Linked DNA regions of Kluyveromyces lactis. The protein of the gene in region 7 interacts with the protein of the main gene of each other region in a biochemical or structural test. Links are inferred from orthologs where the notes say so. Each region holds a gene or a part of one and is shown on either strand. Other genes may lie near its edges.

Region 1 (4,071 bases), on a different chromosome or scaffold from region 7:
CCAACAATGGGTTGCAAAACGCTGCGAAGTTCTTGGAACCAATCCACGAGAAGTACCCTTGGTTATCTCATGGTGATTTATATAGTTTGGCTGGCGTTACGGCGATTCAAGAGATGCAAGGTCCCACAATTCCTTGGAGATCTGGTCGTGTGGACCAACCTGAGGATACTACTCCAGAAAACGGTAGATTACCTGATGCTTCTAAAGATGCGAAATACGTGAGATGCTTCTTCCACAGACTAAACTTCGAAGATAGACAAGTAGTTGCATTGTTGGGTGCGCATGCTTTGGGTAAGACACATTTGAAGAACTCTGGCTTCGAAGGCCCATGGGGTGCTGCCACCAATATCTTCACCAATGAATTCTACAACAACCTGCTAAACGAAAAATGGGACCTCATCACTAACGATGCCGGTAACAAACAATACGTCAACGATAAGGGCTGGATGATGTTACCAACAGATATGGCCTTGGTACAGGATCCGAAATACTTGCCTATCGTGAAAGAATTTGCAAACGACCAAGACACATTCTTTAAAGAATTCACCAAGGCCTTTGTAGTATTACTTGAAAACGGTATTGATTTCCCTCAAGAAAACAAACCTATAAAATTCAAGACCCTTGATGCCCAAGACTTATAAGTTTCTACTCCAAGAATCAAGCAAAACACACACATAAACACACACAAAACACTGCAGCATCAGGCCGTCATATCATAAAGTGCCTGCTATTTATTATTTATGTTAGTTCTTATATACGTTGTGAACTATCATAACTGTCTATTTATTCAAATCGGATAAGAAAAAACACGACGATATGCAAGTTTCTGAACAGACGCACATTCGATAGAAACAGTGATCCCCACTGAAACATAGAAATTCTGCCCTTCCACTCATATAATAGTCCTGCCAGGCTCATTCTTGCCAAGTGTGTTATGTTAGGGAATGGCCCGTCTTTGCAGTTGCCTAACGATTGCCACGAAAATCATCAACACGCGAAAAAAAACGAAAAACATAGAAACAGAACGACGTGTTGAGAAGATCAAAAATCGATGAAGTAAACACACAGGTGAAAACAAAAAAAAAGAGATCTAGAGGAACCAACCTCAACACTTTAACCATCACAGTTCTACCATCAACTAGATTCGTTCTATTGGATCCTTCCAATAGTTGACAAAAGTCTATTGTTTGTTGTTTTAAGACAGCTTTCCTGGTTGTCTGTTAATTCTGTACCAGGTTCTGTTTTGACAGTTCAGAACAAGGACAACGAGAACCCACCCGCCAAGGGGCCATAATTTGGGTGTTTTTGTTTCAGTAAATAGTTACTCGACGGTGTGACAAAAAGTAATCACTGAAGAATAAAGTACTCATCGAAGGGGATCATCAAAAGCACGACATAAACAATGCCATCGAAACGGAAAAACTCACTGCAGCCAAACTTTGGGCGCGTAACTGTCAACACTGCACTTTCACCTCGGGTAGAAGTTTACCAAGACATAAATGAAGAAGAGACTGACCATGCATACCAAAGTGATGTCGATCTTGATACGGATATGGACCTGGACGTTGAGTTTCATTACTATGACCAGCTTTCGCACTTCAGTAACAATTCCAATAATCTCAAGTTTTACTCGGAACCTCTGAGTTCAAGATCTAATTCTAATGACACTCCGTTGGGTCTTACGAGAAGTGTTGGTGTTCTCAATCTTTCATTGGAGACTGAAACGCCTGATGTGAAAGATCAAAAGTTTAATGAGGAAAATCAGTCCCATATCGACAGCAGAGTACCACAGCTTCAAAGGCCCCTCATCACTACAAGTGCCTCCAATTCAGCATCTAATAGTTTAAAGAGAACTGTGAGCAAGACTGGATTCAATATATCCTCTCCATTTTCCAAGAACAATGCTGCATATTTAAAGAGTTGGCATAGTACGAATGCTGCAACATCTAGTGATTTGTCCTCCACTAAGACTACAGGAAAAAGTAATAATTCGTTTACAGAAGCAAAACCGGATCCTGTAGCTTTTCAGTCATCTGGCCTTATTTCCAAAATGAAACAAACAATTCTACCCAAGAAGTTGACAATACCAGATACGCCTGTGAAGAAGTCTCCGCTGGTTTCGAGACATTCTGACCAAGAACTTTTGGACACACCAATATTAGAGCATTCATCTATCATGTCAGCACAAAATCAGACGACATTTCCTACGATGTATGATTCCCAACTTTTCAAATCTCCCCCGATGATAAATACCGTGTTACCTTCATCAGAAAACTCTCCTACCAGTTCCTCTAATCCAAGATCTAAAAAGAGAACTAAAATTGTAAAGAACACAGAATTGACCTCAATGTTGAGACAAATCACGGACGATTTGTACGGACACGATCAAGAAAGTTCAATCTTTTCACCGTCACCCTCAAAGACAAATCTTCAAACTCCAACGAAAACATCCTTTGATATTGGTCCTGATTCTCTGGCTATCATGACAAAACTGCGAAACGATCCAACACATCTTCAACCACCTGAGAAGCAAAGATCAATCAATGCAAGTATCATGAAAAACCCTGATTTCCATCTAACGACCAAATTCAGTAATGTATCCATAATGGGAAAAGGTCAGTTTTCTACTGTCTACCAAGTGACTTTCCCAGAAACTGGTTTAAAATACGCCATCAAAAGTGTACGACCAACTAAACATAATTTTACCAATCGAATTCTACAAGAAATCAATATGTTGTCAACAATTCAGGATTCAGTTACAAATGACACAGAAGGTAAGGAATATATCGTAGAATTTATTTCTTCGTGGTCACATAAAGGTTCATTTTATATAATGACAGAATTCTGCGAAAATGGAAATTTAGATGCTTTTATACAAGAGCACGTCATTGCTAAACAACAACGATTGGAAGATTGGAGGATATGGAAGATTATCGTTGAAATCTGTCTAGCTTTGAGATTCATCCATGATTCCTGTTCAATTGTTCATTTAGATTTGAAGCCAGCTAATGTTCTCATAACTTTCGAAGGTAATTTGAAACTTGCTGATTTTGGGATGGCTACAAAGTTGCCAATAGAAGATAAAAGTTTTGAAAACGAGGGTGACCGTGAATATATTGCCCCGGAAATTATACGTGACGGAATATACGATTTCCGTGCTGACATCTTCTCCCTTGGGCTAATGATGATTGAAATCGCTGCTAACGTTATTTTGCCTGATAACGGAAGTGCATGGCATAAATTGAGGTCTGGTGATCTATCTGATGCTGGCAGATTAAGTAGTGCGGAGATCCATTCGAGCTCACTCTTTTCCAATAAAAAAGATCATACGAATATCACTGACATCACAACGCATGAGACAAAAATTCCAGCGTGGGTACCGAAGTTTTTATTAGACGGAATATCGCTGGAAAGGACTATCAGATGGATGATCGAACCGGATTACAGAGATCGTCCATCTGCATCTGATTTACTCCGCACCGAGGAATTAGAATATGTAGAACTAACAAGAAAGACAGGTGCAGTTATTCATGAGGATGACTACGGCCCAAAACCAGAATTCTTCTCCTAATTCACTTCAAGAAAATATAGAACATGTTATGATATTCAGCTTTACATAAACCAGCTTTACATAAACCAGTTTACGTCTGTTCTTTCTCTATAATGCCCTAATACTGACATAATAACAGCTCCGTTCATTTTCCTTTTACTTTTACTGGTTTTTTAATTTTTTGACATAAAAAATATACATGAGGAACATGTATATTAAACAGATATTCAGAGACTTTATGAGAAATTACAACGAGAGAGATGCAGTGGTGTGCAACGTTTGAACAAAAACGAACACCAGGTGGGGATAACGACGTGAGGTCACGTTAGAGGATGCACGTACTTGTGCATACTTATAGGTTAACACCCACAATTCTTATATAATGAACTCGCGTTTTGGATCAATAATATGATGAGTTATCAAACACTCTTTAAGCTAGATAGTATCTGAAATTATAATGATTTTAGTGTATTTGAACATTTTTAATACCTCTGATATTTTTCCAAAACTTGAATTATCTA
Region 2 (3,536 bases), on a different chromosome or scaffold from region 7:
ATTCGACTAAACAGATCAGTCTTTGCAAGTATCTATAAATAATCTCAAAGTGAATCATATACCATAGATAAAACAAAAAGATACTGATTGGGAGCTCCAAAATTGATTCTGATATGGGATACAATGATACCACCAATATAATGTCTCTTAAGTACCAAATAGACTATTCTAAACCTCCAACTGTTGTTATTTACTTTCGTGTTTCATCTTAAAACTAATGTTGTTATATAAGGAAATGTTGATTTCCTATAAAAAGATTCTTTGACCGTGATCTATAATCGAATTCTGAACAAAAACCGATGGTTTTAAAGGGACTATATTAAGGAAATCAGTGCCGAATATGTAGTGCGATAGGCTTTGTAACATAGAATGACCTAGATGTTATGTTAGAGAGATTATTCCGTTCTATCATAAAAGATGATTTTTTATATGTATAGTTATTGTCTCTGAATAAATTAAATGCTATAGTAGGTGACACATGTCAGGACACTGATTCAGAATCAGTTACGCGCTGATGAGATAACCATATTCCTGATTTCGTACATGTATGATTTGTCATTTAAACTGGTATGTGACTGGTCTGCGGAACCAGTGTCTCTAGATTTATCACCAAGAATGAACCATCCACCTACCTTCCTGCTCCATTTATTCTCTTCATGGTAAAACTTCTCTAATTGTTTGCTTGTAATTTGGTACGTAGGATCTGTGGTTGAGTTTGTAGTCAAAGAGTGGAATCGTGTGGATTCTGAAGAGATAAATCTATTTCCATGCTCATCTCTTCCGAACGGCAGTTGAGACTGTGATCGAAGAATGTTACCAGAATGTCCTTGTGATTGGAATTTGACGTTCTTGGTAGGTGAAGATTGAGATCTTGGCATCAAGTCTGTGATACCATGAAACGGATCTTCTTCAGTACCATCAACTCGTAGCCATCTTAGGTTCTTTTCATCAAATCTCATTTTTCCCACGACCTTCCCATGCTGAGAATTTGAGGAGGCCGCATTCGTCCCTGATGCCGCTATTTGAGTAGAGGACGAAGTCTTCAACGGAGACTTTGACCTTTTGTTCTTGATGATAAACGCTTTCCGATCGACATTTTCAATGTTATCGAAACTGCTTAAAATATCCTCATTACCATCCCATCGTTTCTCCCTTGGGTTGTATTTCATCTTACCTCTTTTCAACGGCGTGTTGAGATCAATTTCTTGTCTTATTGTCTTTAAACGAGCACGAGCTCTTGTAGAATTACGTCTGTTAACAGCAGCAGCAGCAGCGGCCTGTTTTGCCGTACCCCGTTGTTGACGAGCTTCCCTATACGAATCCAACGGAGCGTCGAACGCATAATGCTTCTTATGCAGCTGTGGTGTTAATAAAGTGTCATCATGTTCGATATCATACTCTGAGGGTGATAAACGTAATGTTGGATCAAATGCTGAAAAGTTATTGTTGTTATTAGTAGCGAACTGGAAGTTATCGTCAATTCCTTCAAAATCATTACCGAAATTATCGTCATCGTCGTCTCCATTATTAGCCATTTCTGTAGCCTCAACAGCAATGTCTTGGACAACGTTACCGTCATCAGTTCTTTCACCAAACCTTGGTCCAAGATCCCTGTAACTCCTTCTAACTCTGGGCACATATGGATAGGGTTCATCATCTTCATCTTCATCGTCATCTTCGTCATCTTCGTCCTCAAGTAACACATCTTGACGGTTGAACCTCATTAACGATGGCATAGATGACTTATAACTGAGAGTTCGACCAGAACTGGGTCTAAGGTTCATATAAGACCTGCTGTTCGGTACTCGACGCGATTGCTGTGAATTCAAGCTTGTAATATTACCTTTACTACGGGTTGCCAAATCGACCATCGATCTACGCTGTCGTACCGAATCCTTCAACGATGGCCGCACTAGTCCCGCATGGTTTATATATTGATCCACATTTCTAGTACCACTACCACCACCGGTCTTAGAATTTCTCAGGTTCAATGATAGCTTCTTCTCCAGTTGTTCTTGCAAATCAGCTAGCTCGTCCTGATCCGAACTTTCCCTAAATCGTCTATCCACAGCAAGAGGTAGGTCTGTACCATTTTGGTACTCTTCAAAATCACTGTTATAGTTCATATCATCATCAAGATCGCTCGCCAGTTCCGTGTGTGATGAATACCTCTTATCCTTAGAGAATGTGGTATTTTCCGTAGTTGTGGATGTAGCTGAATTAGGTGCCAATCTCGGTACCTCTATATCATCTTTATAAGTAAATGTGCTTTCAACATCTTCAAATGATGTTTCTCCGACATCATCCAGTACAACTGGACGTATAGACATCGATAATCGAAGATTGTCCCTGGTCTTTTCCCTTGTTTATTCCTTTGTTTACATCTCGAACATACCTTTAATGCTTCCGTCATTGATGTATCTATTAACCTTAAACAAAATAATCATATTCGTGAGACGTGATACTATATTAATTGCTGTTTAAACCGCTGTTGAGACGCCAATTCTGCATTTCGAGCACTCCTATAAAACACTGAGATTCCCAGAATTCGACTAAGTTAATAATTACCTTTTAAACACTCATTTAGGCGCGTTTATCTCTGTTTGTTTTTCTTTCATGCTTCCAAAATGATTCAAAATTGCAAAGAACCGTATTATTGTAATTCTTTAAGATAAATCTCTGTTAAAGATGCATGATGCCACCAAACAGAACAAGAGCCTTTAGCTGCTATCCGTGAGCCGTTTTGAGTGTGAAGTCGGCAGCAGGGGTTTGCATATCAAATTTAAGAAGGAAACTAGGGATTTTATGAAATGTTTGAAGGATTAGACCAAACTTTTCTGAAGAATAACGATGAATGGGTGCAGAGTTATAATTCTGTTGACTGGAACGATATAACTACTATCGACAAACTGGTGGTTGGTACAGAAGCATTGGTACAGAAATACAATAATCCCAATGAACATGTGAAGAGCAATATATATAAAGTTTTTGATGAGTTATTGGGAAGGTATCCGTTATTTTTTGGTTACTGGAAACGATACGTTGCGGTGAAATATCAGCTAGATGGATTAGAAGGGTCTATTTCTACTTTAAAGGCATCTTTACATTCGTTCCCTACGTCGATAGATCTTTGGATTGATATGTTGAACGTTTATCTAACACATAATCAGAATGATAGTGAACTGATACGAAACCAGTTCAGGAAATGCGAATCCCTCGTGGGATCTCATTTCCTCTCGCACGATATTTGGGATAAGCACATTGCATATGAAACAAGACTACAGAACTGGGAAAACGTATTTGAGGTGTACAAACAAGTCATGCAGCAACCTTTGCATCAATATGCAAGATACTACACCAGCTTTAAGGAATTCTTGGAATATCACCCAGAGTTTGCTAATAGGGAATCAAGCATCCATTTGGATACCACATTTATTTCTAACCAGGAGAAGGTGAACAAAATATGGACATATGAATCACAAATAAAACAGCCATTTTTCAATATCCCTGAGCTTCCCGAGAATGAGATTCAGAAT
Region 3 (4,226 bases), on a different chromosome or scaffold from region 7:
GTGATGGGCTTAGTTGCCGTTATTTGCATTTTGAAATGCATATAACGGTGTATCTTCCCTCTAGTTGCATATCTGGAATATCTGACGATTTTCGGAGAATTTTGGAGAAAAAGAAACTTTTCGGAAAAACTAGGAGGCTGCACCAGAGATAAGCAGAGAGAAGACGTTGCTATATATTACCCGGGACAATATATGCATTCTAGGTCATGTGACTGGAAGCTTCCCTCTCTGGTTGTCATGTCGGAGTTTGCGCTCAATTCGTCGTTTATACAGGAATCTATTTTGTACATAGTGGATTCTCTTAATCTACGCCGAGATTGTTGAAACCGGACCTGGATTTGGCCCTCATTCTTTCTATACGTGCCTTTAATTGGTTCGTAACTTCTGCAGCTCGTTTCCACGATTCCTCTTGCAACATATGGTTGTTCAAGTTTAGGGAATTGACACGTCTAGGTAGATCGTCGCTACTTTCACTAGGCGATCTGACCCTTTGAGGAGTCGTAGCATTTTTAGTAGATCTCAGAGGTGATAAGGTAGTTGCTGTTAATCTTCCTCTGCTAATGGACGAGGATATGGGTGAATCTGTTGACATGGTATCGGAAGTACCGCCCGTCAGTTTACTCTCTAACTCCTTGATCTTTAAATTCTTAGCGTTCAATTGATCCTTCGAATCCTGCAATTGCCTTTGTAAATTGGAAACGTATGTCTCAGACTCGTTCAAGAGTTTATTTACTTTGGAAAGTTGTAAATTGGATTGATTTAAGTTGGATAAGAGATCGTTGCGCTCCCTTAGCCATTCTTGTCTCTCTTGTCTTAATTTGTTCACTTCATCGTTTAAATGTGACATTCTGTTGGATATGTTTGTCTGTGGTGTGAAATTGCCAGAGAGGCTTGTGTTGGAACTGGTATTAGATTTGGGTTGTGTTGAGGAAGGCAGATCCGTATGGTTCATCATTTGATGAGTAGTTAGAGACCTTGAAGTCAACCTGGACGACTTCGTGTTGCCATTCAAGGCAGAGTTACGTGCCGGTTTCAATGGAGAAGTGGCCAGTCGTTTTGAAGGGATCGTTGAAGACAAGGGTTGGGATCGTACTACTGGTGCCGCTGATCTTAATTGGGTTTGCGGTTGGGTTTGGTGTGGAGGTGGAACCGTTGCCGCCTTGATCTCCACTTTATCAACAAGTTCAAGGATCTTCTTCCTTTTCAAGTTATCGAGCTTGTCCAAATATGTTGATAGTTCTCTTTCATCGAATATCTTAATTAAGATAGCAATACACTTGAAACCCTCATTTCTTGTTGCCTGTTGATTGTCGTTTACAATGGGCTGCAAAGAATTGAGTATCGCTGGCAAATTGGAGAATACCGACGTTCTATGAAGAGTTTCAGTCGGTGTCCAATTGGATAGCAACTCGAAAAGAAATTTCGAGCATACAATTTTTACCTGTGGTACTTTGTTCTTCATGTGTTGTAACACAGACTCGAGACATAGCTCTAATTTATAGTACTTTGAAAGGTTCAGGAGAGCATTGAAAATAGAATCTGCGACGTTTGGTTTTTTCTCCTTTGATCTAGTTAGGAGAGCGTTTAAAGTTTCCAATGCGAATGGGTTATATTCTGATCTTAATGCGGATATTAGTATATCTAAACTGCTGGTAGATATTTGTACTGCTTGTAGGTTTGCATCGGAAGTGATAGTCGAGCAAAATTTGTGAATGATTTCAGAATGATCTTCATTTGATGCTGACAATTTTTTAACCTTGGTTAAAGTCTGATCGTGGAACTCTTCTAAAGCTTCCACTCTATCCTTCCATTTGCTAGACGCCAAACTCTGATAGAAATTATTCGGTAGCTTATCTAATATAGTTTGTACGGGGAACATATCATATGGATCGATTGATTGGTTATCCAGAGCAGCGGCAGACTGGCCGTTATTACCTGCCATTGCTAGATCTCCGTCATGATCCAAGGGTAAATCAGTTGAATTGTTATCACTCTGAGCCGGGACTGCCCATATAAACTGAGACGGTGTTGAAGAAGGCGGTATAGTGCCCTGGTACGATTCAAACAGTTTATCCAGGTCCTTCTGTTGTATGGGCTTCAACTTCCCCAATAGAAGCTCTTGAAGTACAGGTTTATTAAACCATGTATATAGTTGTAAAATCAACTGCATTGACTCATTCCTCACAGATTTATCCGCATGTGAGCAAAGTTTAGGTAAAACTTCCACTAGACCCTGTAACGATTGCATCTTCTCCTGTTGAGAAACGTTCACGAACCCAAACTGCTCTATCAACTTTACATGAACCATTAACGCTGCAGTCAACAGCTTCGGTAATTTTTTGGTCCAAATCGGCGTCAGACAATTGATTGCATTTACGATATTATCATCCAATGACACGACAAGCGAAACGCAGGCCAATGAAGCCTCTTTCGTCGCTGATTTCGAGGAAGTCATACCTTTCTCCACCAGAGCTGGAACCCAGCCCTGAACCAATTGACCCGGCTGACACAAATCTCTGATCTGGGGTACGTCGATCATAAATTTCAACAAACTGTACAAGGCCTTAACGGCAGATTCTTGTGCAACAACATTGGAATCCAATACGTACCCCGTGAAAATCTCAGGTTTCTTCCAATACTTATTAACGCCACTCTCTGCAACTCTAGCAACGGACAGTTTATTGAATGTGCTTTCTAGCTCATTATATCCATGCTGTCTTGCCTTCCAAAGCTTATGAACAAGTCTCTCATCTAGTGACAGAGTCTGAAAAGACGCCGAATCATCCGTAGCGTTATCCATGGGAGATATACACACGCGATACAGCTGGCAGCACCCTGTGTTGACTCACTGACCGTCTATTTTATTCATGTTGTCTCGTCTGTTTGTTTGTTTACTGGTTGATTTTGATTGTTTTTGTTTACAGAAACGATTGATTTCAAGTCATGTGATATATCACGTGACTTTGTTGATATGCTTTGGATCGGGTTTGCAGAAACCTGAATAATGGGAGGGTAGGATCTATTATACACGTACACGCCCCTCCAATCACTCAATCGGCGCTGATGCGTGTTGGTTGAACATTATACAGTCAATTCAAGCCATTCAAAACACCGTTACACGAGTGTTGGCGCTTCCACCTGCTTACAAATGGACGGGTTCTAGCTGATTCCAGCTCTCGATTCCTGATTAGCAAGCAAAAATTTGTCAAAAACTCGATATTTAACCAACATTATTATATAAAGGAAGTAAGATACATTTAAAGGTTATTTAGTTGTCTCTTCGATTGATTATCGGATAATCTGATAACTTTCTATCCTCATCAAATAAGGTACAATTTATCTTTACTATCCCCTCCAATTTCATATATAATGGTCGCTCAACTTACTTCCGCATCCGAATTCGAAAAGGCTTTGACTGACGACAAGTTGGTCGTCGTCGACTTCTTTGCCACCTGGTGTGGTCCATGCAAGATGATTGCCCCAATGTTGGAAAAGTTCGCTAAGGAATACGAGGGTAAAGCTACCTTCTTGAAGGTTGACGTTGATGAGTTGCCAGATGTTGCAAAGAACAACGATGTCAGTGCTATGCCAACCCTAGTTTTCTTCAAGTCCGGTAAGGAAATTTCTAGAGTCCTAGGTGCTAACTTGGCTGCTATCAAGCAAACCATTGCTGCTAACGTGTAAAATTTTTTGTACACTGCTTATAATATACATTTTACTATATATATATCAGAATAAATTCTTTACATTTCTATTCTTTGATCATGGTTTCTATCTCCTTCTCAGTGTGCCCCAGGATGTATAGGACGTCTATCATTGTATCACTGTTTAACTTACATGGGGCTTGTTCTTGGACCTTTGGCTTGGCGTTCCATGCGATTCCGAACCCAGCTGCGGCCATTGCGTTCAAATCATTACCACCATCTCCGACCATGACGGTGGATTCGATCGGAGAATTGTACTGTTCTGCAAGAGCCACCAACGTCTTGGCCTTGCGCACTCCGTCAACTATATCGCCGAGTGCTTCACCGTTCAATTGTTCAGTACCGTCATCCGACACTTCCACACCCAGAGTATTAGCCAATGCAAAATCGAAGTTTAACTTTTCCTTAATGTAGTTAGCAAACGGGATGAACCCACCACTTAACACTGCCAATTTACAACCTTGGGACTTCAACGCCCTCGATAGCTCTGGGACACCCTTGGTGACTCTTAATCTAGGTTTA
Region 4 (3,017 bases), on a different chromosome or scaffold from region 7:
TCTCTGCGTTTAGTGTGCTGGAATTATCCACGAGGGTCCGGAGGTAATTACTACAAGAGATCTGTCGCGTTCAGCTGTGGGGTAATAATAGGAAAGTTTCCGTGATGTGATACACGAACAGTACCTCGTTATGGTAGCTATTATGAGAGTGTCCTTATTTGCGAGAAAGCTTTCCATCTCTCATGCACTTCTGTTGAGGATTATCTAACTCGTGTGTAGAAAGTTAAATAAGACTGTATACAGTACAATATGAAAAAACAGTAGGTAGCACTGGAAACTCTGGTGCAACGAAGGATAGCCTAGCCATTATGTAGTTTTTGGCCTACACTTCTTTTTTTCTCGAGTTTCTTTGGTTTCGGAATATCTTAGATCCAAGTTAAACTTACTAGTATAATAATACATAAGGTTTTATCTGGGGATTTTTCTGGACAAAACATTAATTAGAACGTTACCGTTACTATTACTTTTTTTATTGTTACAATTTTGAGCTTCTTCTCTTGTTATTTGACTAGATTTCTTAGAAATTGTGTGTCTATCGTATTGTTGTATTCTTTATATGGCGAAGCAGTGCTGTCAGAAGTTTCTTGAGTATGCGGCATGAATGATGAAGATGACACTGGACTAGTGTCTGTTGCAGGTCGTATTGGGTGTTCGTGAACATACAATTTTTCTTCCAAATCCTTTATCCGTCTTTCATATATCATTCTTTCCACTTCAAATTTGTTTTCCAACTCCTTCTTTTGTAGTTCTACGGATAGGATACGTTCTTCTGATTTCTTCTTTAACCTGTCTTTTTCTATTGATAAATCAACGATTTGTTTTTCCAAGGACGCAATTTTATCTAGCATTGAAGAATTGGAGGCTAGTGTTTGGGTCGGCAGTTGGATGGAACGTTTCACCCCTTTGTACTTATAGTATAGCTTGCAATAGTTATCATAAATCATCTTGGACTGTTTTAGCTCCTGTATAAGTTCTTGTCGTATCTGTAGGTACTTCTTTTTCAATTCTGTTTCCTTTTCCATTCCGTGCTTCTGTCTTTCCCTGACATCTACCTTTAAATCACGTAGCTCCTTGTTGTTTAAGCTCAATTTATCCATGAGTTTCACATATTCAGGTGTGTAATCCAAGTTTTGCACTGATGGAGCTACTGGTGGTATTGCTGGAGCTGTTGATGCCGCTTTTCTTTCAGCTCCAGTAAATGCATCCCTGTTGGATATACGAGCATTATACTGCTTAGTTGGAGATGGAAACTTGCCCGGTAACCGTCCAGTGTTGAATTTTTCTCGTTGCGACCTCATCTCATTAGTGTTTAACTGTGAATCATCTTCATCGACTTGAAATAATTTTGAGATTATGGGATCGTTGGGATTCGGTGCTCGTCTAATATTTGGCGTTTCTTGAACTCGCCTCTCTCTTGCTCTTCTTGCGTGGAAAGTGTTTGTATCCTGCTTCTCGTAAGGTAACCCGTTCATGCTAACAGGTCTCAATAAGTCAGGTTCGTCCTCATCTCGTAATAATTCATATTTTGAGTAAATATCTGGATCCGAGAAAGATGAGGCTCTAGGTCTTGAGTATATTTCCTCATCGAATGAGTCTTGCTGCAGTTGTTTATCATACATTGTAGATGGAGATGTGTCTCTGTTGAATAGCGCATCAATTGTCCATTTGAATAGACCTCCCGTATCATCAGAACCCATAACTATACTTTTGTTTTGGCCTTGTCAATGTAGAACTATATTTCCGCAAAAGATGAATGGATTAATAACCTGCTATCGACCGTATAAGGTCCAGTTATGTTACAGTTGGTCAACTAGTGGCTATGATCGAACAATCAAGTATTCTGCTTTTGTGACATTCAAAACGTACCCGAATATTTTTCTACTTGGAGTATCATCCTGTTCTAAAGGTTTTCTTAGATGTTTTTGTTGATGTTAGATATGTCAAAAGAAAAACTAAAAGCACATATACAAACAATAGCGAAACAGGTAAGGATAAAGGATGGTCAGGGAATAGTGGACTGATCGGGATTTTCATCGCAAAAATTACCCAGATCCCCAGTTTGATGTCATTAGAAGCTGCTGGTGAGAAAAGATACGATGTCGCTGCTACTGCTTCGCGATTATACATTTATGAAAACGATGAGTTGAAGTTGCAGTATGAAGTCAACTCGATGAAGTCGTTATTATGGGAGAATTACGAGACAAGACTGATTATACTTGTTAATCACGGACAGGATATCAAGATATATACTATCGAAAAGCAGAATCTCAACTTGGAGCAAGATTTAGTGGTAGATGTTGGGTACCAAATAGATTCATTTTATGCCATTTGGTCACTGTCCACACTCCTGGTTTACGACAAAGTAAGGGCATCTCTGAACATTTACAACATAGACAAACGTGAAGATTTGGGCTACATCACGATTGATTCTGAAAATAGTAAAGTACATGTATTAAAGGATCGAGGTTTCCAACTCATAGCGGTTAATTACGACAACCAATTGAAAACTGTATGCCGATTCTGTAATACCTATGAGTTCAACCAATCAGGCCAGGTTGACCTATTGACCACAGTTGTTTTACCCATAGGGTATCATAAATACCATATTGTTCGCTCTTATATGTCTGCTGAAACGGAAGAGGTTTTTTACCCAGTATATGGCATTGTCATGACGAACATAGCCGAAGATAAGTCTTTAATTTACCTGATGTTCAATAATGCGAAATGCCCTTTCAAGGTCCGCACCGTCATTTACAGTAAGGGTGCAACTAACATCCAAGACAAGTGGGTGGATCCAGAAACAGAATGTTTATATATCAAAACAGCTCACGAATTGGTCTCAGTCCCGTTCTTCCACGAAACTGACCGTACCCTTTGACAGAAATTTAGTTTTAACAAGAAGCGAAGAATGTAAAGCAAGAAATTGTTCTGGCAACCCAAGATAGTAATGGGAACCTATCCGTTGTATGAACCTTATTAAATGTCACATGACTCGGAAATCTTGATTACTTGACTTT
Region 5 (4,001 bases), on a different chromosome or scaffold from region 7:
ATTTTGATAGATTTCAGTTGTTTTTTACTATTTTCTATTCTTTTTTTTTCTTTCATTTGGATTTCCTTTACCCCTCCGTACAGAGGTCACACTCCACAAGGGCGGGGCACCAGTGGAGTAAAAGACGGAGTAAGTCCTTGTTTCTGCGTTGATGCACCACCAAATCATGGTTAGTGCCGCTCCCAGTATTTATTTTGTCGGTACCACGCAAAGGTTCTTCTAGCACAGGGTTCTGTAGTATATTTAATCGGAGTAAATTACACGGGAGTGAAGGCAATAATATTTGTGCGGAGTAGATGTTATTACCTTGCATATCTAATGAGCTTAGACCCGTGTTATTCGTGAGCGTTTGTGGGACTCTTGTGAGTCCTAATGAGCGTAGGGTTACCCGACGAAGCTGTGGTGGGAACTCGAAACCTTCCCATGCTGATGATGAGTTTGGATCGGAACCAAGCTTTTGCTTTCTACCATTAGTGGAAGTTCCAAACATTTGCTTTGATGGTTGACGCGGACTTGAATGAGGCATCCCAAGGATTTCCAGTTGCTCCAATGGGAATGACATGGGGAATCGTTCGGATAATGGTATCAACGATGCATTGTAGTTAGGACTCTCTATATCGCTATTATTGTTATTTGTCATATGTGAATCGATTGCATTCTCTTCAATATTGATGCTGTCCATCGCCACAGTAATTCGTAAGATTCGTAGGTTAGGAAACCCGGAAAAGGAGTGTACAGGGACACCGCCATCTTTGATACTTAGGTAACGCAATTCGGGGTTTCCTACTTCAATCTTCTTTCCAACACGACTCCTAGAACCTTGATGATATGAGCCACTATGCAATTGTTCAATCGAATTACCATCTAATATTAACACTCTCAAACTGACCAAATAATGTAGGTTTTTGAGATTTGTGATCCTATTATTTGACAAATCAAGTTTTGTCACATGTTGCCACGGTATAGGAGAAGTTTCGCACAATTGCTTGAAGTCTATGGAACCTATCAATTTGTTATCCTTGGCGATAATCGTATCAACTTTGGCGAATTTTGGAAGGCCCATCAAAGATACAATACCGCAATTGGAAACGTCCACGTAGTGTAGATGTGACAACGGAGCAGTGAACCTAAGATCTTGCAATGCACTTAGGTTGTTGTCTGAAAGATCCAAATGTTCGACATGCGGTAAGTCTTGAAATTGTAGAAGTTGCGATCTTAGCTTGTTATTAGAAATATTCAAACTTTGTATATGATTAGGTATGCCTTGTAACGATATCAACTCATTGTTAGACACATCGAGGTTGATTAAATTCGGCAATAATTCATCAATACCAGTACAGGAGTCCTTTATTGCTTGATCAGATAGATCTACTTCGTACAGAGTCTGCCAATTGGTTGGGTTGGGTTCAATCTCTAATAATCTCGATACAATTTCTCTCTTGGTAAGATCGTAGGAAGTATCCATCCGGCTAATGCTAGTTATATCAGCAATATTGGCGGTGCCCTGAGAATGAATGTTCGACAGTTCTTTGTGCAGTGATGAAGAAGGATAACGAGTCATTGGCTTATCCGTATCTTTTTGATAAAAGTTTCTATTGAATTTGGGTGTACTCAATGGGGTGTCATCAGTAACAGTGTTTAATGTTACGTTGCTTCCTAAATATTCATCATCTAACCCACTTTCAATTTCACTATTGGCCGTTGCAATGACCGGAATTTGAGTATCTATACAATTGTCCAAGGTAGGGTCTCGTTTGAATGAATCTGAAATGGGTTTTAGACTAGAATGAGAATTCGAATTCGAATTAGTTGTTGTCGAATCTTCCTCCATAACAAATGAGCCGGTACTGTTTTCCGATATATTGGAATCAGCAGCGGCTATCATACGTTGTTTATCCCATAGTCCAGTTTCATGATCAAATACTAACCCAGCATCTTCTGGAGTTATCAGAGGTAACCTTCTGGTGTTCGTTACAATTCTAGGCTTAGGACTAGGTGAGTTGAGATTCGATGGGTTCAGTTCGGATAGAGAATCCGAACTTGAATCAGAACCCGATTCAAAATCTTCTGATCCAGACACGGGACGGGATCCGGACTCGAAGTCTGAATTTATGTAGTTCCTTGTCTGATATGGCTGGTTGGCACCATTTGAATTCTTAGTATTCTGAGTGGTTAGGGTATCATTGTCCCTGAAATAATTGGATCTTTGGTTTTTCAGAACATTTTTAAAGACTGATTTTGCTTCTCGTGCAGGATCAGTTTCATGACTTAGACTACTGAGATCGTTCCTTTCCTTCTTCTTGAATGTATCTGCAGGAATTAAAGAAAGATCACTTAATGATGCTGTCACAATTAAATCCGATACATCTTTCGCAGATTGGTCACTCTTTTGCTTTGGTTTGAGTAAATAATTTTTCCACTGAGCCTGTGGAGCATCGTTTCCTTCATCCAAGTTATTTAACCTTTGCGCCATGGTCCCATTTGTTTTCGAATCCTCCTTCAAAGCTTTTACTGTACCGTAGTTGACTGACCAATCGTCCATTTTGCTAAGGAAAGAACCAAATTGCTGTGGCAATGGGTTTTCATTTTCTTTATATGGTTTAAGTTCAGCTTTTTTAGTCTTTTTAAGTTGCACTTTCTCAAGCGTCGGACGTTCGATTGCTATACCAGGTTGTTCGTTTTGATCTTCGAAATCATCACTGTTGATGAAATCTTCGAAATTTCCGTTTGATCGCTTTACAGTATTGACCTTCTCAGGACTCGTAATATGAAAGTTTTCTAAACTCTCAGCTAAATCCATATCGATCAATTTGAGAGATGAAATGAGAAGATGTTGATCAGTGAACTCTTACAGACTGCGCAGTAAGGTGTTCCCCACTTAGTTTGTTTTATTTACGGGTGTTCTGATTCTCGCCAGAGAAATGTAAGCCTTACAATGGTACGCGAAGCTTGTACAAGCAATGACGTGGGAATAAAAGAACGATTGCAACAAATTCGATTGGACACTCAACTTTAGATATAGAGCACTGAAATCTAGAGATTTGATCTTTAGGAGTTCCGGTAGGTAAAATAACGCGAGAGGGTAAACCTGTCTCACCTTTGTCAACTTTTACTTGCGCAAAGATCTCTTCAAAAAATCTTGTTTGTTGCTAGTCGATGAAGCACAAAATGCTAAATAAAAACTTAATCAGCTAAGGATTCAACGCCAATATTTGAGAGCTATCAATCAATAGCTCGTAGAACCGAACAAAGAAATTGCCTATAGCTTTTGTAAGCTTTTAGAAAACGAATGGTATTCTACAGTTATCTGTAACTGAATTCACTTCTTGTAAACTCATAATACTTCAACAATTAGCAGAGCTTCTTTCAATTGGGCGTTTGTTTTCATTCTCGAATTTAATCTTGTTTTTATTATTGTTTTCATGTTTTTCTCAAATGCACTTTCTGCATTTGCGGAGCGCTTTCACAAAGAGAAAACTATATAGATAAATGATACAATTGCATTTAGCAGACATACATATACACCTATAAAAAGTAGGAAATTGGACGGCAAAAACAAAGTGTGACATCTGGCGTCTGTCGTTTCGAAACAGTATTACTTTTCTTCTGACTTCATGCCACAATGTGTAAAGCCTTAAGAAAACCGAAAAAAAAAACATAAACGGTATAAAAAGTATGAAAACTGATGTTAGATTCCTCGCACGTTGTTTGCTGCAAAGAAAGATCGATAACTGATGCTATCAAGAAAAGATGCGCTGTAGTACGACAGTAATATAATTGGGATTCTCGACAATATTTCTACTGCATTTACATTGGTGTAGTACTTCTATGCGTAGAAAAACTTGAGGATTCAATGAACTCCGTCATGTAAATTCTAATGTATATCGGATACACAGTATCGCATCGAATAAAGCCCTTCTTATCTGCGGTATAAACGAAAAAACGCTGCAGAACCTTTTCTACTGACATTTCAGATCCCGGCTGGAATACAGCTATAACCA
Region 6 (3,708 bases), on a different chromosome or scaffold from region 7:
TCACCTTACTAGCAATGAAGTTGATTGACACGATGGGAAAAAGAACCTTGCTACTCATGACTATATGGATTATGACAGTAGGTTTGTTATTATGTTCTGTTGGTTTCGAATTGAATAACCTAGCGCTATTGGTTGTATCTGTGATTGTTTATGTTGGTGCTTACGCTACTGGTATGGGAGTAGTACCGTGGAGCAGTGTCGAATTTTTACCCCTGAACCGAAGAGCTGTGGGCGGATCTATGATTTCCTGTACTAATTGGTTGACTAACTCTGTGTTGTCTTTGACTTATTTAACTATCACAGATAGGATTGGAAACGAAAATACGATGCTACTCTTTGCCTTATTTACTATATTCAATTGGCTGTTCGTTTATATTTGGTACCCGGAGGTGAAAGGTTTATCACTTGAAGAAATAGGTCAAGTGTTCGAAAATGGCGTGGATGTCCACTTCATTTATAGAAATTATCATTAAATAATGAGATTGTATTATTTTTGTAGTTCACAGTTTACCAAAAGTTTCCCATAAAGTATGTGACAGTGATTTTCCTATCTTCCTGTTACCTGGTGCATCTTTGAGTTCATTTTGTATCAATGTTTTTGCATCTGCTTCTGCTGCACATCTTCTATAAGCTTTTAGTAGAGTTTTGAACGTTGGATATCTGGATTGAATCATTAGTGCTTTTTCCAGTGAGATACCTTTAACTGACATAAGAGCGCGAAGATAAAGTTCCTTTACCGTCATAAGGTTTGTTTTTACCATGGCTGATTGCATTGATTCATAGTTATGACAACATTCAATTTCTTTATTTCTTTCGAACTCTGTTCGGAACATCTTCAATGAGGTTAAGTATATGCTCTGATTAGTGATATGATCATGGTTTATTACAACAAGAGACTTTCTTGAATAAAGCTCTTTGATGATTAACGACATATCAGTGAGCCATTGCACGGTTGTGTCAGCATTCCTGGTTCGTTTAATATGGAAATCATTATAAATTACTGTAGTCCAAATACTCGTTTTCATCATATCAGCACTGTCACTGACATTATAACCAGTAGTCTCTTCCACGAGGTAAAATATGTGCTTGCATCCTGTCTTCTGTAGCCTGTTCTTCTGCTCCGAAAACCTGTTGTCTCTTATACTAATAACCAAATCATCTAATCGTTTACGTTCCACAATGAAATCTAACGCGCACTGTTGCCCTGATTGTTTATGCTTTGCAAGCCATATCATGTCGCCCACCGTGAGACTCGAGGATTCAGTTTCTATCCCCCGTTGCAACAGCTTCCTCGCAAAAAACCCTCTATCTTCTTTCGATCTCACTTCACGATGATCAATATGTAAAATTATGTCGTAACTGTCTGGTTTCCAGAGCTCGTATTTTACGCCTTTCCAACGACCTTTTGATACCTTTTGCTTTGGTATAGGTGTTGAAATTTCTGCCGAAACCTCAGGTTCTTCATTCTGCTCAATTCTGCTGGAGTTTGCCGTTGCATCAAGAAACAATCTTGAAGAATTAGCACTTTCGTTGATAGACATATTTGCGTGATTCATAAGTCCGCTAAAGTTCACCGTATGATCATGTTCATCATTTGTAAAAGAATTCTGAGTGTTGCCCCTGTTAAGTCGCCTCTCGTATACACTTGACACATCAAACTCAATATTGTTGGCTGTCTTCAAACTATCTGCTAATATAGTGCCTGCTTCCGTTAGGCTGAATTGAGATGGCCTTCCTTGTTCTATTACTAAATCATTAGTTTTCAATGATTTGATGGCGCTCCAGGCGCTATAAAACTCTTTGGTGGACGGATTTTTCTCGTAACTCTGATCACAATATTTTGATGCAACAGCTATAAGTTGTCTACGTGTGCAAGCCGTCCCATCCTTATCACATCCCAATTCTAATAGGCCTAGCAAAATGCCATAACCGCCGCTTCTATTCCGGGGAATGTATTTTTTCTTGCGACGTTTCCTAGTACCCTGGCTTTCATTTTCCTCTGGCTCTAAGGTTCGTACTCTTGTTTTCTGGGTATTACTGGGGTTGCTGTCATTCTGAGTGGACTGTGTGTTATCCGTTGAGCTTGACTCCTCAGGGAAAGAATATCCATTCTCTTCGCAATACGTTTTTAGGCGCTTCGATAATTTATTCATAGTAGTCTGTCCAATACCTTTAACTTTAAGGAGATCTTTAGGATGATATATAGGGTCGGGATAATTCTTTAAGGCAAACAATGCTCTGTTCAAGACCATCACTAACTTTTCTTGATGAGCTGATGTACTCTGGTTTACCTCTTGCTGAAGGAATTCAGCATAAAGCTGTTTCGCATCACTAGGAATGGACATTTGTAACTGAGGGAGATATCAAAAGTATGTGACACCCTATGAATGGCTCTCGTAAGAACAGCCTGGAATCACCTCTATTATGTATTTCTTCTATCAGGCACAGCGATGATTAGGTTTTTCATCTTCCATGATATAATTTCTTGATCTTTACGTGAATGTAAACAAAAATATAAAAGAAATTAGATCAAGCTCATAACTACGCCGAGCACATCAGATGGGTTAGAAAAGGGGAAAGAATCGAATTTCACGATGAAAAGAAATGGAAATGCTTCCCATCGTTCTCCATTTTGAAAATAGAAATGGACTACGTGTTCTTATTTTTTTGTTTATATGTTAGTATATTGCATTAAAGTATACTTACTGATTAAAAGACTTCTAAGATAGGAGCTATACAAAATAAGGTATGAGTGTATTTGTACAAATATAAAATTCCATTGAAGGAGAACGAGAGACTACAATAAGAGCTTGATTACAACTTATCGTAGTATTCTTGCCAGCCTGGAACTTCTTCCTTCATACCTTGTCTCTTTCTAGCAGCCAAGACAATTTCACCAGCCTTGGTGGATGGGTCCAATGGGTCAGTACCTAGAGTGGCCCAGTGATCGAACACCATCTGTGGGAAAGCTTGACCACCGGTAGCTTGTCTCAATTCACCAGTGAAACCGAAAGATTCGTTAATTGGCAAGTAAGCCTTGACGGTGAACAATGGAGTACCTGGTCTTTGTTCTTCAGAGACGACTTGACCTCTCTTCTTGTTCAAGACGGAGTAGATACCACCAATAGCTTGTTCTGGACATTGAATTTCGACCAAGAAGACTGGTTCTTGAATCTTTGGTTCAGCCAACAAGAAACCGGCGTAAGTAGCCCTTCTCATGGTTGGGATGATTTGACCACCACCTCTGTGAATGGCATCAGCATGCAAGGTAACATCCAAGATGTTAACTCTAACGGATCTCATTTGTTCACCGAAGATTGGACCCTCCTTGGTAGCCCATTGGAAAGCAGCAACAACGGAGTCCTTGATTTCGTTCAAGTATTGGACAGCCTTAGTTTGGTCAACAACCAAGTTTGGACCGTTACCGTCAGGACCGAAACACCAGATCTTTCTGGCGTCAGTGACATCCCAGCCGAATTCATCAGCCATAATTCTAGCTCTGGCCTTGAAATCATCTCTTGGGTTGATCTTACCACCTTCGATAGCCAAAGAAACTTCTTCATCGATTGGTTGAGCCTTCAAGTAGATTCTGTTATGCTTGTTTGGAGACTTAGACAAAGCAGTTTGGGAAGATTCACCTTCAACAGTTTCTCTGTAAGCGACAACTGGAGGAGAGATCTTCAATGGAATACCAGCGTGGTCGTTTTC
Region 7 (4,014 bases):
ATTTCTTTTGGGTTTTTTGGGTATTATCAGTACAGAATAGTGACCTTGTTTGCAATAAAAAAACCTTGGAAGGAACAAGATATTCGAATTTTGATATCTTCACATCTTTCTAACTTGTATACATTTGTTGTTACTTTTAAGATACAGTTTTTCTGGTGAGGGATCATGTTAAGATTCAATTATTAATTTATGTTAAATTAAACAAATTTATTCTGGCAGCCCCAGGCTTATTTCATCACAGATTCAAAATTAACTAATGAAACAATGAAATCTGACAGGTGAAGATATTTTGATACAGAATGGATGGCAGTTTTAGAAGTTGCAATCGGGGGAACACAACGATCAGGAATAGCTGGTATCATTTGGTATAAATCGTTGGATGCAGGAATGCGAAAAAAATACATAAAGGCGCTTGATGGACGTAGCCATACATGCTGGCTTGTACAACCAGATGAAGACATTCAAATGCAAATTGCATATTATCACAATGACATCCCTACCTAATGTATTGTTAGAACACTTGCTTTATCTCTCAAGCCCTCCTTCATTAGTTCTAGTTTCTCGAATATATCAATAGAAGGGAATCCTGGTACACATCCATCTATTAGAACACTCGAAAGCAGTAACGTTATCGTTTTACGATCAGATGAAATAAATGTTAAGAATTTACCTCCATGTGACAATGCAAATTTATTGTGATCCTTGAAGTTGAATTGGAAAGTACCATCACTCAACTCAAACATAACAAACTGTTTATAACGGGTGTATCTTCTCAAGAACACATCATCTTTATGATAAGTTTCACGGACCAGCGTAGAAATTCTACTCAAATTGGAGTTCATGTAATTTGAGAAAAAATCGACCACTTCAAGGTGTCTTGTTAATTCAATAGGTTTAGATTCTAATTTATAATGGCTTGCAACCCATCCTTCCTTAGTATCATAGTTAATATACCAGAATTCTTCCGCATCTGCTAGCTTTAATACTGTGGTTCCGTTGTTGAATAACACCCCGATATCGTCAGTTGATAACTGGTATGCAAATCCATGTTTGTTCGAATAGTCTACCCATTTTGTGACCACGATTGGGTCTTGTACGGTGGAGTCTGGAGAAGGATAGTTTGATTGCCTCTTATCTATTTCGGCACTCTTGATCCCTCGTAGTGTCATGTGGCATTCACTTGCAAGTATTTTCAGCGACATTTCGGATTTAATCATGTTAGTTGAAGTTGCCACCAACTCAGGCTTGAAGAATAGATTCTCTCCGGCTTTTTTCAGTCGATTTTGATATGCCATCTCGTTAAATTTTCTGTGGCCATCAAGATCGATAACTTCTTTATATTTATTTTTGGTTCCGCCTGGTGACAAGGATTGTGGTAAAACAGCTCTGTTTCTTTCTTCTTCTATTTCTGTTCTCACTAACTCAATTGGATTCTTACTACCATCATAAGAATGAGTTTGTGAGCTCTTAAGTAACCCTGAGTTTAGCATACATTGTTTCAAGTTAATCAATGACTCGCTGAAACTGAGGTGATCGAAATTTGGAATCTCCTTGGTTATTGTAGACGGTAATCTTGAAGGGAAAGTATTTCTGAACCATACGTTATCAGTTATTTCATATAACGATGGTCTGGCGGCTGGATTTAACTGTAAGAGATGTGAAATCAAGTTTTTAGCATCTGAGGATACCGGTTTGTCAGCTGGGAAAATGAAATCTCTACACTTAATTCTTTCATAGATTGTTTCAACTTCTTTTGCCTGGAATGGTGGTTTACCGAATAGCAATGCATAGAGCATCACACCAATTGACCAAATATCAACCTCATATGAGTGACCAGTGTGCTTTCCGGTGAGCACTTCTGGAGCAATATAGTTAGGTGTACCACAAATGGTATATTTACGCTCTTTATCATTTGCCAAGACAGCAGCAAGACCGAAATCACCGATTTTTAAGTTGTACTCTTTATCGAAGAAAATATTTCCAAGTTTCAAGTCTCTATGAATAACTCTTCTACTGTGCATATATCTTATGGCACCAATGATTTGGATCATACAGAATCTTACTTCAGGTTCCGTCAAATGTTTTCTTTGTCTTAATAATTCCATAACAGATCCGTTTGGACAGATCTCTAATAAGATATAAACGTTAGTATCATCTTCGAAACAGTCTGTAAATTGAACGATATTGGGATGTTTCATAGATTTGTGGATCTGAATTTCTGATAGTAATTTCCTTCTTGTCTTTTCAGATTTGATAGACAGTTTAGCAACTGTCTTCGCAGCAAATACTTTTCCCTTGTCATCCTTCATTTGGAAACAACGAGCAAATCCTCCCTCACCTAAGAAATGTCCTCTGTGGTAGTCCCGTCCTCTAGTCTTGATCAACGATGGAGGTGTTTTGCATAAAGAAGAGAGTTTTTCCTTCTTCTTTTTCTGAGGCGGCTGCTGACGATTGATATTATTATTATTATTGTTATTATTATTATTGGTGGGTTTACCATTCGTAGTAAGTCTATCTATATGATGCAGCTCAGTAACAACCCTTTTAGCCTTGATCGGTGTATGAATATTATTCGATCGAGCATTTAGCTGTTTATCGTTGATGATTTGAAGTGGTGGTGCAGACATGATGTCTGATTATTTTGTAGCTCTTTGATGGAATGATACTCCTGCGAGCTTTTGTTATGTCAAACACCCTTGTCGAACCAGTATACAAGAAATATCACTGCAATGTGTGATAAATAGTCTACACTTATCAACCTCCAGTAACTAATTTCTTTCTTGCGTGTATTTCCTTGGCCCGTCCAATAAATACCTTGCAATTAACGGTTTTGTGGCTCTCGATCAAAAAAAATGAATCTACGACGTCAAAGCACTGGCACCGTTGAAAAACTGAAGCGATTTAGGTTAACAACAGCAGAATGAGTACAACAACCAAGATTCTGACTGTTAAATGATGTTTCCGCTCACTGTAAGTCTTCCTTTCACCTGCAAGTTTGTAAACTAATATCAGTGATGTAAGTATTCCTAAGAATAATCGAACTTTCAACTGAATTATGGCAGTCGCAGTAAAAAAATGCTTCTAATATCAAAAGAACCCTTGTTATAAGCACTTGATACGTCTCAGGTAAGATGGTAACAATTAAAGGACTGAGTTCCCGCCCTCTCTTATGCCAAGTATGCTCTTAGGAAGTATGTAAAGAAAGACTGTATAATATTAGAATCTGACTTTTTTCCCTTCCAATATAATAGTATATTATACCAAACCCAGTACTTTTAAGCTGATATAAAAGCCAAACCAGTATACAAGGATACCCAAATAGTAATATCAATGACAATGAGCTACCGCAATTTACTGTAACTTCAAATTTATTCAAACCGACAAATTACTAGTTTTGTCAACTTTGAAAACACAAAACCGACTATTTACATTATTGAATTTTTTTCGACATTAACCAAATCTGTACAACGGAAATGAACAAAATGTAAACAATAACAAAACACTCAATGCGGTAAGTGCCAAAAACCCTTATTTCTTTAAAAGGACATTTTCCTAAGTAAGTATCTAATGAAAAAGCAAATAATTACCTTACCCGAATATTAGATCACGTGAGACTTTTTTTTTTTTGGGGGCAATTTTGAAAATTTACGGTTGTTCTATTTTCATTTTCACTTCTGCCCTTTACAGGTTAATATCTGTTGAATGTCTTGGATTCTTGAAAAATCAAATCTTCAAGCATTCGGTAGAAAAAGCTGATCTATTTTTTAGTAAGAGAAGAGGCACTGTCCTGATCAGCGCCTAAAGAAAACTAATAAAAAAGAAACATCCTAAACGGTCGAGAGAGTTCTATATTACTGGTGTCGGTAATATATCTACTTTAGAATTTCCTTTGTTTTATATTTACGATAAGAAATTTAAGGTTAAGACGGACCACAACCAAAGTAATTTGATATAGCCCATTTTAGAGCGCTACAGACTTGAATAGGCAGGTAAAAAGAACCCTATATAGTACTT

What was found.
Region 1: of the proteins of CDC5 (region 7) and SWE1, one has a biochemical effect on the other in vitro, tested with the Saccharomyces cerevisiae proteins (2 studies listed by BioGRID). The link is inferred for Kluyveromyces lactis from reciprocal best matches to the Saccharomyces cerevisiae genes CDC5 and SWE1.
Region 2: of the proteins of CDC5 (region 7) and BFA1, one has a biochemical effect on the other in vitro, tested with the Saccharomyces cerevisiae proteins (7 studies listed by BioGRID). The link is inferred for Kluyveromyces lactis from reciprocal best matches to the Saccharomyces cerevisiae genes CDC5 and BFA1.
Region 3: the proteins of CDC5 (region 7) and STU2 form a complex in vitro, tested with the Saccharomyces cerevisiae proteins (2 studies listed by BioGRID, with this or other methods). The link is inferred for Kluyveromyces lactis from reciprocal best matches to the Saccharomyces cerevisiae genes CDC5 and STU2.
Region 4: the proteins of CDC5 (region 7) and BBP1 form a complex in vitro, tested with the Saccharomyces cerevisiae proteins (2 studies listed by BioGRID). The link is inferred for Kluyveromyces lactis from reciprocal best matches to the Saccharomyces cerevisiae genes CDC5 and BBP1.
Region 5: of the proteins of CDC5 (region 7) and NUD1, one has a biochemical effect on the other in vitro, tested with the Saccharomyces cerevisiae proteins (3 studies listed by BioGRID, with this or other methods). The link is inferred for Kluyveromyces lactis from reciprocal best matches to the Saccharomyces cerevisiae genes CDC5 and NUD1.
Region 6: of the proteins of CDC5 (region 7) and MUS81, one has a biochemical effect on the other in vitro, tested with the Saccharomyces cerevisiae proteins (2 studies listed by BioGRID). The link is inferred for Kluyveromyces lactis from reciprocal best matches to the Saccharomyces cerevisiae genes CDC5 and MUS81.

The regions. Positions count from the first base shown.
Region 1 is NC_006038.1:658,189-662,259, forward strand, and holds SWE1 (tyrosine protein kinase SWE1), read left to right. Parts: upstream 1-1,402; coding exon 1,403-3,571; downstream 3,572-4,071. Other genes in the region: CCP1 (cytochrome-c peroxidase), read left to right, coding at 1-641. UniProt on the Saccharomyces cerevisiae protein: Protein kinase that acts as a negative regulator of entry into mitosis (G2 to M transition) by phosphorylating and inhibiting the mitosis-promoting cyclin B-bound CDC28 at 'Tyr-19'.
Region 2 is NC_006037.1:714,141-717,676, reverse strand, and holds BFA1 (Bfa1p), read right to left. Parts: upstream 2,331-3,536; coding exon 501-2,330; downstream 1-500. Other genes in the region: PRP39 (Prp39p), read left to right, coding at 2,811-3,536. UniProt on the Saccharomyces cerevisiae protein: Part of a checkpoint which monitors spindle integrity and prevents premature exit from mitosis. This cell-cycle arrest depends upon inhibition of the G-protein TEM1 by the BFA1/BUB2 complex.
Region 3 is NC_006041.1:1,460,548-1,464,773, forward strand, and holds STU2 (Stu2p), read right to left. Parts: upstream 2,801-4,226; coding exon 302-2,800; downstream 1-301. Other genes in the region: thioredoxin TRX2, read left to right, coding at 3,370-3,684; SER2 (phosphoserine phosphatase), read right to left, coding at 3,752-4,226.
Region 4 is NC_006042.1:629,731-632,747, reverse strand, and holds BBP1 (Bbp1p), read right to left. Parts: upstream 1,698-3,017; coding exon 501-1,697; downstream 1-500. Other genes in the region: KLLA0_F06512g (uncharacterized protein), read left to right, coding at 2,063-2,878. UniProt on the Saccharomyces cerevisiae protein: Component of the spindle pole body (SPB) required for insertion of the nascent SPB into the nuclear envelope and for the proper execution of spindle pole body (SPB) duplication. Connects the central plaque of the SPB with the half-bridge.
Region 5 is NC_006042.1:25,572-29,572, reverse strand, and holds NUD1 (Nud1p), read right to left. Parts: upstream 2,801-4,001; coding exon 68-2,800; downstream 1-67. UniProt on the Saccharomyces cerevisiae protein: Involved in astral microtubule organization by binding SCP72 to the outer plaque in a cell-cycle dependent manner. Required for the mitotic exit by facilitating the binding of TEMP1 to CDC15.
Region 6 is NC_006041.1:275,730-279,437, reverse strand, and holds MUS81 (Mus81p), read right to left. Parts: upstream 2,346-3,708; coding exon 501-2,345; downstream 1-500. Other genes in the region: CIN10 (Cin10p), read left to right, coding at 1-473; EFT1 (elongation factor 2), read right to left, coding at 2,815-3,708.
Region 7 is NC_006039.1:539,022-543,035, reverse strand, and holds CDC5 (polo kinase CDC5), read right to left. Parts: upstream 2,628-4,014; coding exon 501-2,627; downstream 1-500. UniProt on the Saccharomyces cerevisiae protein: Protein kinase required for the cell cycle where it is involved in mitotic exit. A component of the fear (CDC14 early anaphase release) network which promotes CDC14 release from the nucleolus during early anaphase. Phosphorylates SCC1/MCD1 and NET1.